3 linked regions of the Tribolium castaneum genome follow. The main gene of each other region encodes a partner of the protein of the gene in region 2 in a complex. Links are inferred from orthologs where the notes say so. Each region holds a gene or a part of one and is shown on either strand. Other genes may lie near its edges.

The links. The genes of interacting proteins can lie anywhere in the genome.
Region 1: the proteins of rictor (region 2) and mTor are in contact, whole or in part, in a cryo-EM structure (PDB 6ZWM), measured with the Homo sapiens proteins. The link is inferred for Tribolium castaneum from reciprocal best matches to the Homo sapiens genes RICTOR and MTOR. Residues at the interface, in NP_689969.2 of Homo sapiens: Leu204, Arg205, Gly206, Asn209, Arg245, Asp247, Val248, Glu249, Glu251, Arg252, Leu254, Thr258, Asp259, Phe260, His261, Tyr262, Arg263, His264, Ser265, Pro266, Asn306, Gly308, Ser311, Gly314, Val315, Cys317, Ile318, Pro319, Glu345, Ile347; in NP_001373429.1 of Homo sapiens: Arg1028, Asp1032, Lys1068, Leu1069, Asp1108, Asp1109, Tyr1110, Asp1150, Lys1187, Asn1196, Val1200, Gln1207, Asp1210, Val1211, Cys1214, Arg1215, Lys1218, Gly1219, Tyr1220, Thr1221, Leu1222, Ala1223, Glu1226, Glu1227, Asp1228, Leu1230, Ile1231, His1234, Arg1235, Arg1238.
Region 3: the proteins of rictor (region 2) and Sin1 are in contact, whole or in part, in a cryo-EM structure (PDB 7PE7), measured with the Homo sapiens proteins. The link is inferred for Tribolium castaneum from reciprocal best matches to the Homo sapiens genes RICTOR and MAPKAP1. Residues at the interface, in NP_689969.2 of Homo sapiens: Arg108, Gln137, Glu140, Thr144, Leu147, Arg148, Arg151, Lys152, Thr155, Arg182, Met183, Arg185, Ala186, Ala189, Cys192, Glu193, Leu196, Leu220, Arg222, Ile223, Glu225, Ala226, Leu227, Thr229, Thr230, His233, Asn236, Arg293, Trp295, Glu844; in NP_001006618.1 of Homo sapiens: Ala2, Phe3, Leu4, Asp5, Asn6, Pro7, Ile9, Ile10, Leu11, Ala12, His13, Ile14, Arg15, Gln16, Ser17, His18, Thr20, Ser21, Asp22, Asp23, Thr24, Met26, Cys27, Met29, Val30, Leu31, Ile32, Asp35, Val36, Ser84.

The regions. Positions count from the first base shown.
Region 1 is NC_087399.1:3,302,849-3,307,014, reverse strand, and holds the start of mTor (serine/threonine-protein kinase mTOR), read right to left. Parts: upstream 2,801-4,166; 5' UTR 2,660-2,800; coding exon 2,437-2,659; intron 2,391-2,436; coding exon 2,173-2,390; intron 2,127-2,172; coding exon 1,912-2,126; intron 1,773-1,911; coding exon 251-1,772; intron 1-250. Other genes in the region: RpL37A (large ribosomal subunit protein eL43), read left to right, coding at 3,020-3,022, 3,255-3,383, 3,488-3,634; smo (smoothened), read right to left, coding at 3,978-4,166. UniProt on the Homo sapiens protein: Serine/threonine protein kinase which is a central regulator of cellular metabolism, growth and survival in response to hormones, growth factors, nutrients, energy and stress signals.
Region 2 is NC_087395.1:23,064,381-23,067,880, reverse strand, and holds part of rictor (rapamycin-insensitive companion of mTOR), read right to left. Parts: coding exon 3,260-3,500; intron 1,508-3,259; coding exon 816-1,507; intron 770-815; coding exon 657-769; intron 610-656; coding exon 106-609; intron 1-105. UniProt on the Homo sapiens protein: Component of the mechanistic target of rapamycin complex 2 (mTORC2), which transduces signals from growth factors to pathways involved in proliferation, cytoskeletal organization, lipogenesis and anabolic output.
Region 3 is NC_087397.1:9,927,726-9,931,508, reverse strand, and holds Sin1 (target of rapamycin complex 2 subunit MAPKAP1), read left to right. Parts: upstream 1-1,477; 5' UTR 1,478-1,547; coding exon 1,548-1,638; intron 1,639-1,682; coding exon 1,683-2,226; intron 2,227-2,386; coding exon 2,387-2,625; intron 2,626-2,672; coding exon 2,673-3,005; intron 3,006-3,055; coding exon 3,056-3,240; 3' UTR 3,241-3,283; downstream 3,284-3,783. Other genes in the region: crb (protein crumbs), read right to left, coding at 1,091-1,139; Pdzd8 (PDZ domain-containing protein 8), read left to right, coding at 3,525-3,686, 3,734-3,783. UniProt on the Homo sapiens protein: Component of the mechanistic target of rapamycin complex 2 (mTORC2), which transduces signals from growth factors to pathways involved in proliferation, cytoskeletal organization, lipogenesis and anabolic output.

The DNA.
Region 1 (4,166 bases), on a different chromosome or scaffold from region 2:
AGTCGTTCCCTGTCTTTCCTTCGTAATATAAAATTTTCCTCGGAGCAAAAATGGTGGATGCGCCGGGCAAATTTTACGATCCTTTAAAATTTGAGTTAGAAAATGACGTTTTTAATTCCAATTATTGGAAACAAAAGTCGTTCCCTGTCTTTCCTTCGTAATATAAAATTTTCCTCGGAGCAAAAATGGTGGATGCGCCGGGCAAATTTTACGCTACTTTAAAATTTATCACTTGGTAACCCGTTTTTACCTTCAAAATGGGCTCCATGTAGGGCCTTATCATCCTCGGGGCGCTCACAACCAAATGATCTAACATCCTCGCCCCTTGTTCCTTATTCCTCCCACTGCCCGAATGTTCCAATTCGGATAAAAACTGCACTAAAGTTTTCCTCAACGAGGGCATGACATATGCCGGATTCATCGCACTCAAGCGCCCGATTGTAAACAGTGCAACTTCGCGTATTTCAAACATTTCGTCTTGCAACGCCAGAAACAGCGCACTGAGCGACTCAGCTTGTGCTAAATGATTATCAAACGTACGATCGAGCGAAATCAAGACTCCGTACCGGACATTTGGGTCGGTATCGGTCAAACCAACACTTAACAAACGATGTAAAACAGCAGCTACGGTTTTGGTGACCGTATCCGACGAGTTTTTCGCTGTGGAGTGAATAGCATGTCGGAGGAGCCGACACGTGGTTCTGACAGCCTCCAATCGGATTTCGTTATTGTCATGGATGAGGAAATGATTGGCGCAGCGGTGGACAAAAGGGAGGAGTCTCTGGCCCTCAAAGTCAAACGTTCCGAGTGTTTTGAGGGCCAAAACTATGATTTGCACATCGTTGACTTCTGGTATTGCAAGACTCATTACGGTTCCGGTCAAGTGGCGGGGCATCCCGGGATGAACTAGTGGTTTATTCAGGAGAATATAACTCAGCATTTTTAATAACCCGAGACTGATTCGTTCTTTATGTTCCGGGACTTTTCGGGATAATTCCCGGAAACATATCGTGAGGGATGCGGTTAATCCCGTTGCTAGCATTGGTTCCAGGAGGTTCGGGATGTCCATTTTTGAGTGGTTTTTGAGGGCGTGGGCTAGGAAAGTGACACAGTTGAAAATTGAGGAGTCGATGGGGCTCCGCTTGCGCCCCAAAATATCGGCTCGGGGCAAATACATGCGAATTATTTCCATAATACGTTCAATGTACGGCTCAATGTCGCTCTCGACAGCGATCGCAATTAAGCCAATAGTCACAAAAGCCTTAGCTCTCTCCTTTTCCCGACTCTTCAAAATGTTGAAGATGTGGTTCATGACGGGGCTTAAGTGCTGCTTGACGTAGTTTTCGCGGTCAAAAGCAGCCAATCGGGGTAAAATCGTGAGAAAACTTTGTTGGATGTGGGACGAACGGGAGAGTCTCTGAGCCAGGACGTCTAAACAAATGTAGTCGAATTTCTCGGAAACGAGGCCTCGGCAACTTTGGGATTCTATGATTGCAATTTGAGAGGGTGCCAAAGACACAGCTTGGTATTGGGGGATGCGTCGAGAGACCGAAAAGACGAAGCGAGATTTAGTAAAATTGAAGCTAGTCTCGACTGGTTGTTTGGTGTCGGTGCGTTCGAGCAAACTTTTGCATTTGCGTTCCCATTCGGCATTTGAGCAACGCACCAGTTCGTTGAGAATGAGGAGAAAGCCGTGGACGCGCTCCTCTTTCATGCGTTCGCCTCTTTCCACCGAGAGCATTTTCACGGATTCGTCGTAACACTGTTTGTACCTAAAGAAAAAATCGAGGGTCAAACAACCAAACGATATTTTATTATTAAATTATTAATAAAAAAATTTGCCGGACATATATAGTTGAACATTTAGTTCTGAGAAAGCAAGAAGAGCAATTAACTTAACACTGTGCGTACCATTGTGGCTTTTGGTTCTGTTTGGCCGTTTCTCGTTGCGCTGTGACGACCAAAGCGGCCCTCAAAGCCTCCACAGCGCTCTCCCTAATGGCAGGTTTGGGGTCCTGTATCGCGAAAAAAATCAGATCGAAAAATTGCGACACATGTTGGTAGAAATACGTCGGCATAGTTAATGCCAACTCTTTCAAGACTAAAACGGCAGCTTGTCGCTTCCCCTAGAAGAATTTTACTCAAACTGGGCCAATTTTGAGGAGTTCATACTTCAATCCGGTCGCCACTGAGCCACTCAAAGGCCCTCTTAACTTCAAACTCGACGTATTCGGAGGCTTTTGAGCCTGAGACCAGCGCCAAGCGCCCCATTGTCTTCGCCACCGACTCCATGACGCTCACGTCGCTCGAGGGCAACAAGTTGCGTAAATAATTGGCGAAGCGTGATATACGTGTGGTCATGTTCCCGAAATCGACTCCAATCAAACATACTAGAAGAAGGAATTGAGGAAAGTTTGGGTTTAAATTGTGACTAACCAATCGCCAAAATTCCGCCTTTTTTCTCGTTGGGGTCGTTGCTCGAGACCATTTCGAAGATGTGGTGGTTGAATTCGTCAAGGAAGTTTGTTATTTCGTCGGGGGTGGCTTCGCGAAGCTCGCTTTTTACGTACAAGCTTAATTCTCGTGCGGTTTTTTGACGAACGTCGGGGTTGCGGGATTTCAACCCCGCAACGAATTGTTGCATGGCCAAAGTGGACATGGTGACGGTGCGACGTTAGAAAGGAAGCATTTTCGGGTTTATCAACACTGAAAGATTGTTATCACACTCATGATGGTGCTTCCATTTTTGCCGAATGACTTGGGGGATTTTTCGGCCGGTTTGAATTTCAATGGGGCCTAAATCAAGCACAAAAAGTCTTTTCTTGTGTTTATTACAGTCATGTAAAAACTTGTAATCTTAAATATGTGATAAATCCCTTTACATAATTAAAAAAACGTTAGATTTTTTATAAAAAAAAACTTAGGGAATTCCGTTTTCCGACTAGTTTGGTGAATTCGTGTGTGCTGAGTGTTGCCAACTTCTCTTACATTTGTGAGACTTGTCAAAAGTGTTACAAAAATGGTAAGTTTGCGAAAATCGAGTATTATTTTAATCATCCTAAGATATTTTGTATGCATTTTATTCGAAATGGACACAATGAGTCAATTTCCATTATTGTATAACGATTTTTTGGCCATAGAAGCCACAGTCGGCATTTTTTACTATTGAGGTTACGTATAACCTAGTTTTTGTGTCTTTGGAAAAAATGCTAAAATTGTTAAGTTTTTGTTATGTAACATTGTGTTTTTTGTAGGCCAAGCGTACGAAGAAGGTCGGAATTGTCGGAAAATACGGAACCCGTTATGGGGCCTCCCTCCGTAAAATGGTCAAAAAAATGGAAATTACTCAACACAGCAAGTATTCCTGCAGTTTTTGTGGCAAGGTAAAGATTGCCAACACTCTAGTTGATTTCATTGTTGAAACTTGCATAATTTTTTTTGTTATTCTTTGATTAGTTTTTAGAATGTTTTGAATGACTTCTTTTAGGATGCCATGAAAAGGAGTTGTGTAGGGATTTGGTCCTGCAAAAGGTGCAAACGTGTGGTAGCAGGAGGCGCTTGGGTCTATTCTACCACAGCAGCATCGTCTCTCCGATCAGCCGTTCGTCGTCTCAGAGAAGTTAAGGAACAGTAATTTTTTTAATTAATAAAATACTTAAAAACACGACACACTTGTTTCATAAAATACACCCAAAACCACACAAGTTGAGCGAATTAAAAAAATGCAATATGTTACTACTACTCATAATAGCAATTTACGCAACGTTTGAAAATTTTTTACATTCTCAGGTGCGAGTATTTTTTTAGTTAATAACTCTTTGAAAATAAAAGTATGCACTTCGACATTCGTGGGGAAGGAGCAATGGGCACATTAATAATACGAAAGGCTTATAATTTTTTATTTGGTAAAAGTTATAAAAATCACATTTTTGTACAAATAAATACGAAGCTGCTTTTCGTATAAAATCAGTCGTTCCTCATAACAACTCTCTCAGTTCTGGACTCGACGAGCTGTCACTCTGTCTGTTGAAACTCTCCGAGTCGCTTTGATATTTTTTTGAGGTTTTGGACCTCTTTGACCTCCGACTTTGGTGCGATTCTCGCCCCGACCTCGGCCTCTTCTCTTGCTCCTTCTCACTTTCACTACTACTCAATTCCTCAATGTG
Region 2 (3,500 bases):
GTATAGAATTTTTTTTGACACTTTGATAGTAGTTTAACGGTTCAAAATCCTTCACCAGAGAGCGTAAAAGCGCGAATTAAATCCACATAATAATTAAATACCTACCGCTAGATGTCGTGACAAAAACCTCGTCTTTGGGCCCCTTCCACGAACAAACAAGGCACGTTTCAACATCGTGCCTCCACAGTGTCTCCTCACGCACTTTAAAATCGTGCATTGCATAGACAATCTCGTCGTCAATGATCGGAAATCTCTCCAAAGAGGCATCACGTGCCTCACTGTCCACATCCAGAAACAAATGATTAATGTCATGAGGCAAAGTCACGCCCATGTAACACCGATCCTCGCTTTCGTTCCGATCGTGGACACTAAACCGCTTAATACTTGTCCCAGTGGTATTTAAAAGATTGAAATCTTCGATTAGTGAAACGGGAACATCCCAGCTACTATCACTCCGGATATCGTCCGAGTCGTAGGCGGGTTCTTCCAAATACCTCGGCGATTTTCGTAAGGAACGAAGTGTGGCATAGCCAACCAGATCCTGATGGCTCAGCTTACTGGACCCGCCCCCGCCCAGCGATTGGAGCGAGCGATCCGAGTTAGACCCGCCTGAAAACACGCCCATTAGCCACGCCCAGCATAGCCTATTAAGTTACTTTGAACTGAGACACGCCGTGACGATTCCGAATGACGCCGCACTTTCGCCGATTGTTTTAACGTACTGAGACTACAGGAACTTGGTATAGGACTCAAGATTTGTGGCCGTTCGCTGAAATGCCCAATTAAGAAAAAACAAATGTAAAATAGTGACTTACTAGATCACAGATTTGCCTCCGCCGAAGGAATCGCACGAACTCACCCCGGACGTGGTCGATTCCGTGGTCGAATTGTTCCGAACGCGCCTCACAATCTCGGTACCCAATCGGAAGCTGCCTTTTTTACTGTCCTGAGGCGCTCGGATAATCTCGAAGGTTTTCGACTCGGACAGCGACCTCTTGTGGTAGCCCGCCGCTTGGTTCTGATTGGCCGGCAAAGTCAGGCTTTTCTGGGGGCCTGCCACTGTGGAATCGGGCAACATTGACTCGGACGTATCGTCGTCAGTGCTGCCCTCTACGTCCTTAATTCCCGAGTCGAAGTAATACAAAGTGGGCGTGATATCGGGGAAACTACTCGGAAGTCGTAAACTGTCCTCGTCCTCGTCCCACGCCTCCTCTTCGATGATTGGCCACGCCACGTGTCGGTTATGACGTGTGCTAAACCAACCCAGTTTGAAGAGTTCGTCGGCGCCTTGTCGCGTTGTTGCGATTAGACCGAGGGCGTAATACGAAGTTGCCCGAATCGAGAACACTAAGCACTCTTGTGCCAAGGTTATCAAAGCTGCCAAACAGTTGTGCAAAATTAGGTATCTTAGGCCCTCGCTGGTGCTGCCGAAGTGGCCCAAAGCCCATATTGAGGCTTTCAGTTTCAAAATATCGTCCTCGGTCTCACAAACGCCATTCGTGAGAAACTAGAAATAAAGAATTATCGCAATGTGAGCGCCTTTTAAATCGTAATTTCGAAGTTTTATAAAATATTTATTTGAATTGTGTAGCAATTTTCACGTTAAATAATTTATGCTGGCAGCGACAGTGACAAAATAAATAAAAACTGGAGGTATTTTTTCATTTTATATAAGTGCTGTGTATAAGTGTTTTCTGTTTTGCAAAATGATTTTCGAAGAATTAACTTACACTTTATTAAAATTGGGTAATAATACCAATGTTTCTCAGAAAAAAAACAAGTCAGAGCTGATAATAGTACAGCATACCAAATTACTAAGAACAGTGCTAAAAATTTTGACTTTGTAACACCGTTTTTAGTACAAATCTGGTAAACAATTAATTAAAGAAAAAAACGTAATTAATAAAAATTAAAAAGGGTACAAGAAAAAACCCAGATTAAAGCGCCAACAGGAATCAGACGAATTAAAAAAAACAAAAAAAAAGAATTATAACGATGACGATGAAAAAAATAGTCAACAAACGCGAAATAGAAAATAACAGTAGGTACTTATACAGAGTTTTGAACCAAACGTTTTGTGTCTAAATTAATTATGTACCTTACGAAAAAACTAATTAGTATTATGTATCATTAACTACTTTTAAAATGTAATCATTTTTCAAAAATAATTTTTTCAATTTTTTTTAGTTTTCGAGTTATTAAAAAATTTTTTTTTCAAATATATTTTTATAAATGACTTCTAATTCAATAATTTTGTTTTTAAAACAGTGTTTTTTTAATAAAGTATTAGAATTACGTTCCGAGCTCATTACGACGATTTGTTCAAATTTAGCCGAAGAAGTTGTATTCATGGATATAAATAAAAACATAACAATTTATTAAAAAAAAATACACCGGTTAAAAAATAATACTATTTTCAAGCAATTTTAAAGCACAATCATTTACCAAAAAAATCGCCGTGGTGGAGTATCATTTATTATTTATTATATATATATTTCTTGAACAACTCGAAAACTAAAATGAATTTCGAAAAAAAAAAATTAAAAATGCATAAATTTTGTTTTATGCAAAAAAATCGCCGTGGTGGTGTGTCAATTATTATTTATTATATATATTTTTTGAATAACTCGAATTAGAAGTTGTTTACAATTAAATATGAGCCACAAAGTAAATAAACTTTAGGGGTTCTTTATTTTCATGGGCTAGCAATAATTTTCTGTAGGAATATTTGCACAAAACACCATTTCAGAATATCATTAGCAATAAATAGACACAATATTAATTAATTTCTAGCATTTCAAGTATAAAGGATTGTAAAAAAAATTCTGAAAAAAATCACAGACAGAGAAAAAAAAAGTATTTAACAGCAAACGCTCATTTTTATCTGTGTATTAGTTTTTTAGATGTACCATGGAACAATCTAGTAAAACACACTTTTAGAAGTTTCACCTTGTAAACTTAGCACTTACAGCGTTTCGTTAAACAAATAAACGCTTTTTTATTTCACTATTTTTTAGATTGGTAAATATTATATTGGTAAATTTTATATTAAATAATTTGTTCTGGCAATCACTCACTGACAGAGACTGATAAAAAACATACGACCCATCAAGGATTTTTTTAGTTCCTATTTTGTGTTTTCTATTTTGCAAAATAATGTTCAAAGAATTAATTACAACCCGAAAAAAGGGCAATCAGTCCAGTATAATTTTTTTTGAATTTGTACAATTTTTTGGTACAAAATAAATGGGTGTTTCACCTGAATCATGTTTTCCAGCGACCCGTGCTGCACTAGAATGAGAAAGCCATCAGTGTGCCGCGCCAATTGTCCGTAAAGATGCGGCGGCAAGAAAAAATCCTTCCTATTTGTCGTCCTTATCGTGCTTGTCCTCTTATCGTATTTCCCGTCCTCGTCCCTCTGATGTAAAGTCAAAGCATCGGAGGTTTCACCCTCGACTAGTTTAATGTATCTATAAATGAAATACTCGTCCCATCGTTTA
Region 3 (3,783 bases), on a different chromosome or scaffold from region 2:
ATACAAAATTACATTTTTTTCATCCGTGAAAAATATGCTCAAACTAAATCACAGCACGAACATGTGGGACATGTAATGGGGCTAAAAAATCATTTAATGATGTAATGCGGTAATCGCTGGGTTTAAGCCGTTAGTGCGGTTAAATTAGTTGGCCATGACTACGGATATCTAAAGGTTAGGATAAATAAAGCGTTCCCGTCCTCTCTACAAATTTCTTCCTCACATTTTTCTTGTATCTTCAACTGTATTCAAACCGCAAATTTAAAATTTTAATTTTTTTTCTTATGTTTCTTATAAAAATTTTAATAGTTAGTTTTTCTGTCTGTTAAGAGTGCAAAGCTTAACGTTCCTGATGTTTTCCAAGTAATTAGTGAATTGGTTGGATTTAAATTAATTTAAAACGATTTGGTACTGAGACGATATAACGCTCGAAACGCCCTCATTTTTACAATGTTGTACTATTTTTTCGGGTCCAGAAAATCTCGTTTCGTCTCCTAGCTTATAGTTCACCGTAGCCATGACGACTAAACCGACTTGATTGAATTTTGCCCTATATTTATTTGCCTAGTCTGTAAAAAGTACGATTTCATTACTTCATCATTATATGAGAATTGTTTATAATTCAAAAAATTCATAATTAGGCACAGGTGGAACACCTGTCTGGACACCTGTTGAATTTTGTTCCAAACCTACCAAGCCTAATTTTGGGGTTGTTTGTTGTATGGAACCAACAAAATTTATGAAAAAAATGTGTGATTTATTTATTTGTCAATAAACTGCATACAGAAAAATTAGGTAATGATCAATCACAGTTGACTTTGAGTTGTCATGGCAAGCTGGGTCATAAAACTCTCCCCATGTCCTTGCCATAATTTCTCTCAAAAATAAACTTTTCGTCCGAGTTAATCATTTTTCTGAGAAACGGAGGCCTAAATCGGTGTGACTCACCTCATCTTCTCACATTGCAGAAACAGTTATTGTTCCAAAACCTTTCTAATTTTTGTATCAAGGAAATTTAAATAACAAAAGATACAAATCAACTACTTTTATAAAAAGCCAAAACGTGTACGAAACCGGAAGTAGGACTTACCCAAGAAAACAGAAATTGGTCCCAACCTCCAAGAACTCAAGAAACCCATCTTTGAGACAACTGGATTGCGGTTTTTTCGTTACATTCATTAAAATCATATGCACCATGAAGCAACAACGGGGAGGTGTGTTTATGTTGAAAAAAACATAATTTTATTATTTAAAACCAGTAAATAAACACAAAATAAACGACAGGTTCACAAGACAACAACACCCAGCACCCACACAACACTTTTTCTAGTGACAATTTTAGTGATTTTGTTGTGTGTAGACAGTGCTCCCAATATGAACCAAATTTCAAAAATTTAGCAATTGGGGCCAATGATATCGAAAAGTGTTTGATTTTTTGATAAAACGACACGTTTTAAAATATTAAAATATGCTCAAAAAAAGCGTTGTCGCCTATTATCTAACAATAATGAGCGTTATGTCAAGTTCTTACATAACCTAACTTGTCAATGTTTACATCAGACACGATGGCCCTTTACGACAACAAATACTGGTTATTATCACACATACGCAACTCTTTCATTTCTACAGATGATACAGGTTTGGCTAGGTTTCAAAATCACACTCGATTAACAAAGTTTTAGGAATGTGCGAGTTAATAATGACAGGGGAGGAAGGTGTCAGGAAACACCTGAAGCAAAGCCTTGATTCGTACCCTGATGACGAAGACAGTGAAGATGAAGATGATTTGTCTCACGAATCTTACGACCTACAACTTGACACCGATTTCCCGTTACGATACAGATCGAATACTGCCGTAAGATTAGAAAAATTAGAACAGGTTAAAAAGAGAACTGGCAGAATCAAACATATTAAATGGGAAACGAACAAGAACGAGTTGAGTGAGGAACAAATTGATCAGTTATTCGTAAAAAAGGAACCCAAAGTAATAGAACCGAAGCAATCTTTGTTTTCTAAAACCTTCAAGGAGCATAAGATGATGCCCATTAACCCTTATATGGATTATGCCAAGTTTGATGGCAGCGGACAAGTCAATCTTCAAGTGAAGAAGTATAGAATTTTCCTAACAATGCTACCAGAGCACCAGAGGAATTACCCCTTGGCTGTTTGTTGCACCTCTTCTGCTAAAATTCAAGAGTTGATTGGACTTATATTACTCAAATGCAGGTTTGTTAACTTGATCCTGAAGTTAGGTTGGCAATATTCTAAGTTACTGATGACATAGTTGCACGCTATTGGCTAAGCGTTAAAATGTTGCCAACTTGATTTCAAAGTCACAGGCCACTTTGACCAGGAAATGAAATAATTGAAAAACAAAATTTTTAAGTACAATGTATGAAGACTATCCTTGGAAGCCCGTAAACAATTACGGTTTGTACATAACTGAAGAAGACGGAGAAGTGGATAGGGACTTCCCCAACTTGGACCCGAGGGAAAATATTGCCAAATTTGGGTTTGCTTGTTTAGGGCTTGTGGAACATTCAGATCCCTCAAAGTGTGTCAGTTTTGGGAACTCTGAAACTGTTACAATCAGAAAATTCGATTACAATGACAAAAAAGGAAAAGGTTCGCTTTTGCCACATTTTGGTTTAAAATTTAAATTTTTTCTTTAGATTCGTCTAAACAAGACCAGGAAAAACAAATCACCACCGATTTACACTTAATGGACGTTCATAAAAAAGCAATGGAAGCCCCACTGTACAAATCGTTCAAAGTCTACATGATTAATAAAATGCGGGCCAAAGTTGAAATACATTTAGGAATAAGTGGCGAAAAAATCGAAATTGACCCAGTGCAAAAAAACTCGAAATTTGTTCTAGTTAAACAAAAACCCATAAACCACGATATGGACATGATCGCGTGGTGCGAACCCATTGAAACTACCAAAAGCAACAAAATGACTTTCAAAATCATTTACAGCCATTCGTTCGCAAACGCTGAAAATGGTATTTTTTGTAATTATTTAATTTTCTTGATTATTTAATTGTTTTTCTAGTTTCAAGTCCAACTTTACAATCTTCAGCTAGCTTCAAAAGTTACGAATTTGAGGCAGACCAATCAATTGCCGAAGAAATCGTAAATAAAATAAACCTGATTTTGGATTTGAGGTCTAGTGACACACGGAAGGAGTATTTGGCAGCGCAAGAACGGAAATATTATAAGAAAAAAGCGTTGATTTAAGTAACTTGTATACTAAAATATAATAATAAATTCATAAATTATTTTTTTGCGTTATGATTTGGGAACGTACCCTCGTTACATAACCTCAACCGTCACCTGTCAGCTGTGAGTGTCATTACCCTCTTGAGAAAAAAACAGAAAAAGGAAAATCATGTTTGGCTTTTTTTGACGCTTATCATATATGAGATAAGCACAAGGGGGCTATAAAATGGTAAACTGACTCCACTTTGTGTTATTTCGAACAAAACGGGCCTAAAAATGGTGATAATATAATTTAAAGCGCTATGGATATATTTTTGTTCATGTTCCTAGTTTTTATATCTTTTTTAATTGGTATTATAGTGACTCTCGTGGTGCAATATTATATTTTGTATTCTTATTTTAAAACAAGTCCAGTGGTCACACCAAATGAGAAAAAGTGTTCTACTGATTACGTTTTACCAGAGGTATGTATTAAATATTTATGTTTTTGTGTGTATCGAAGCGCTTTTAGTCTTTGAAAAAACAATTGGATAGTGAAGAATTGAACGATGCGACGAGTTT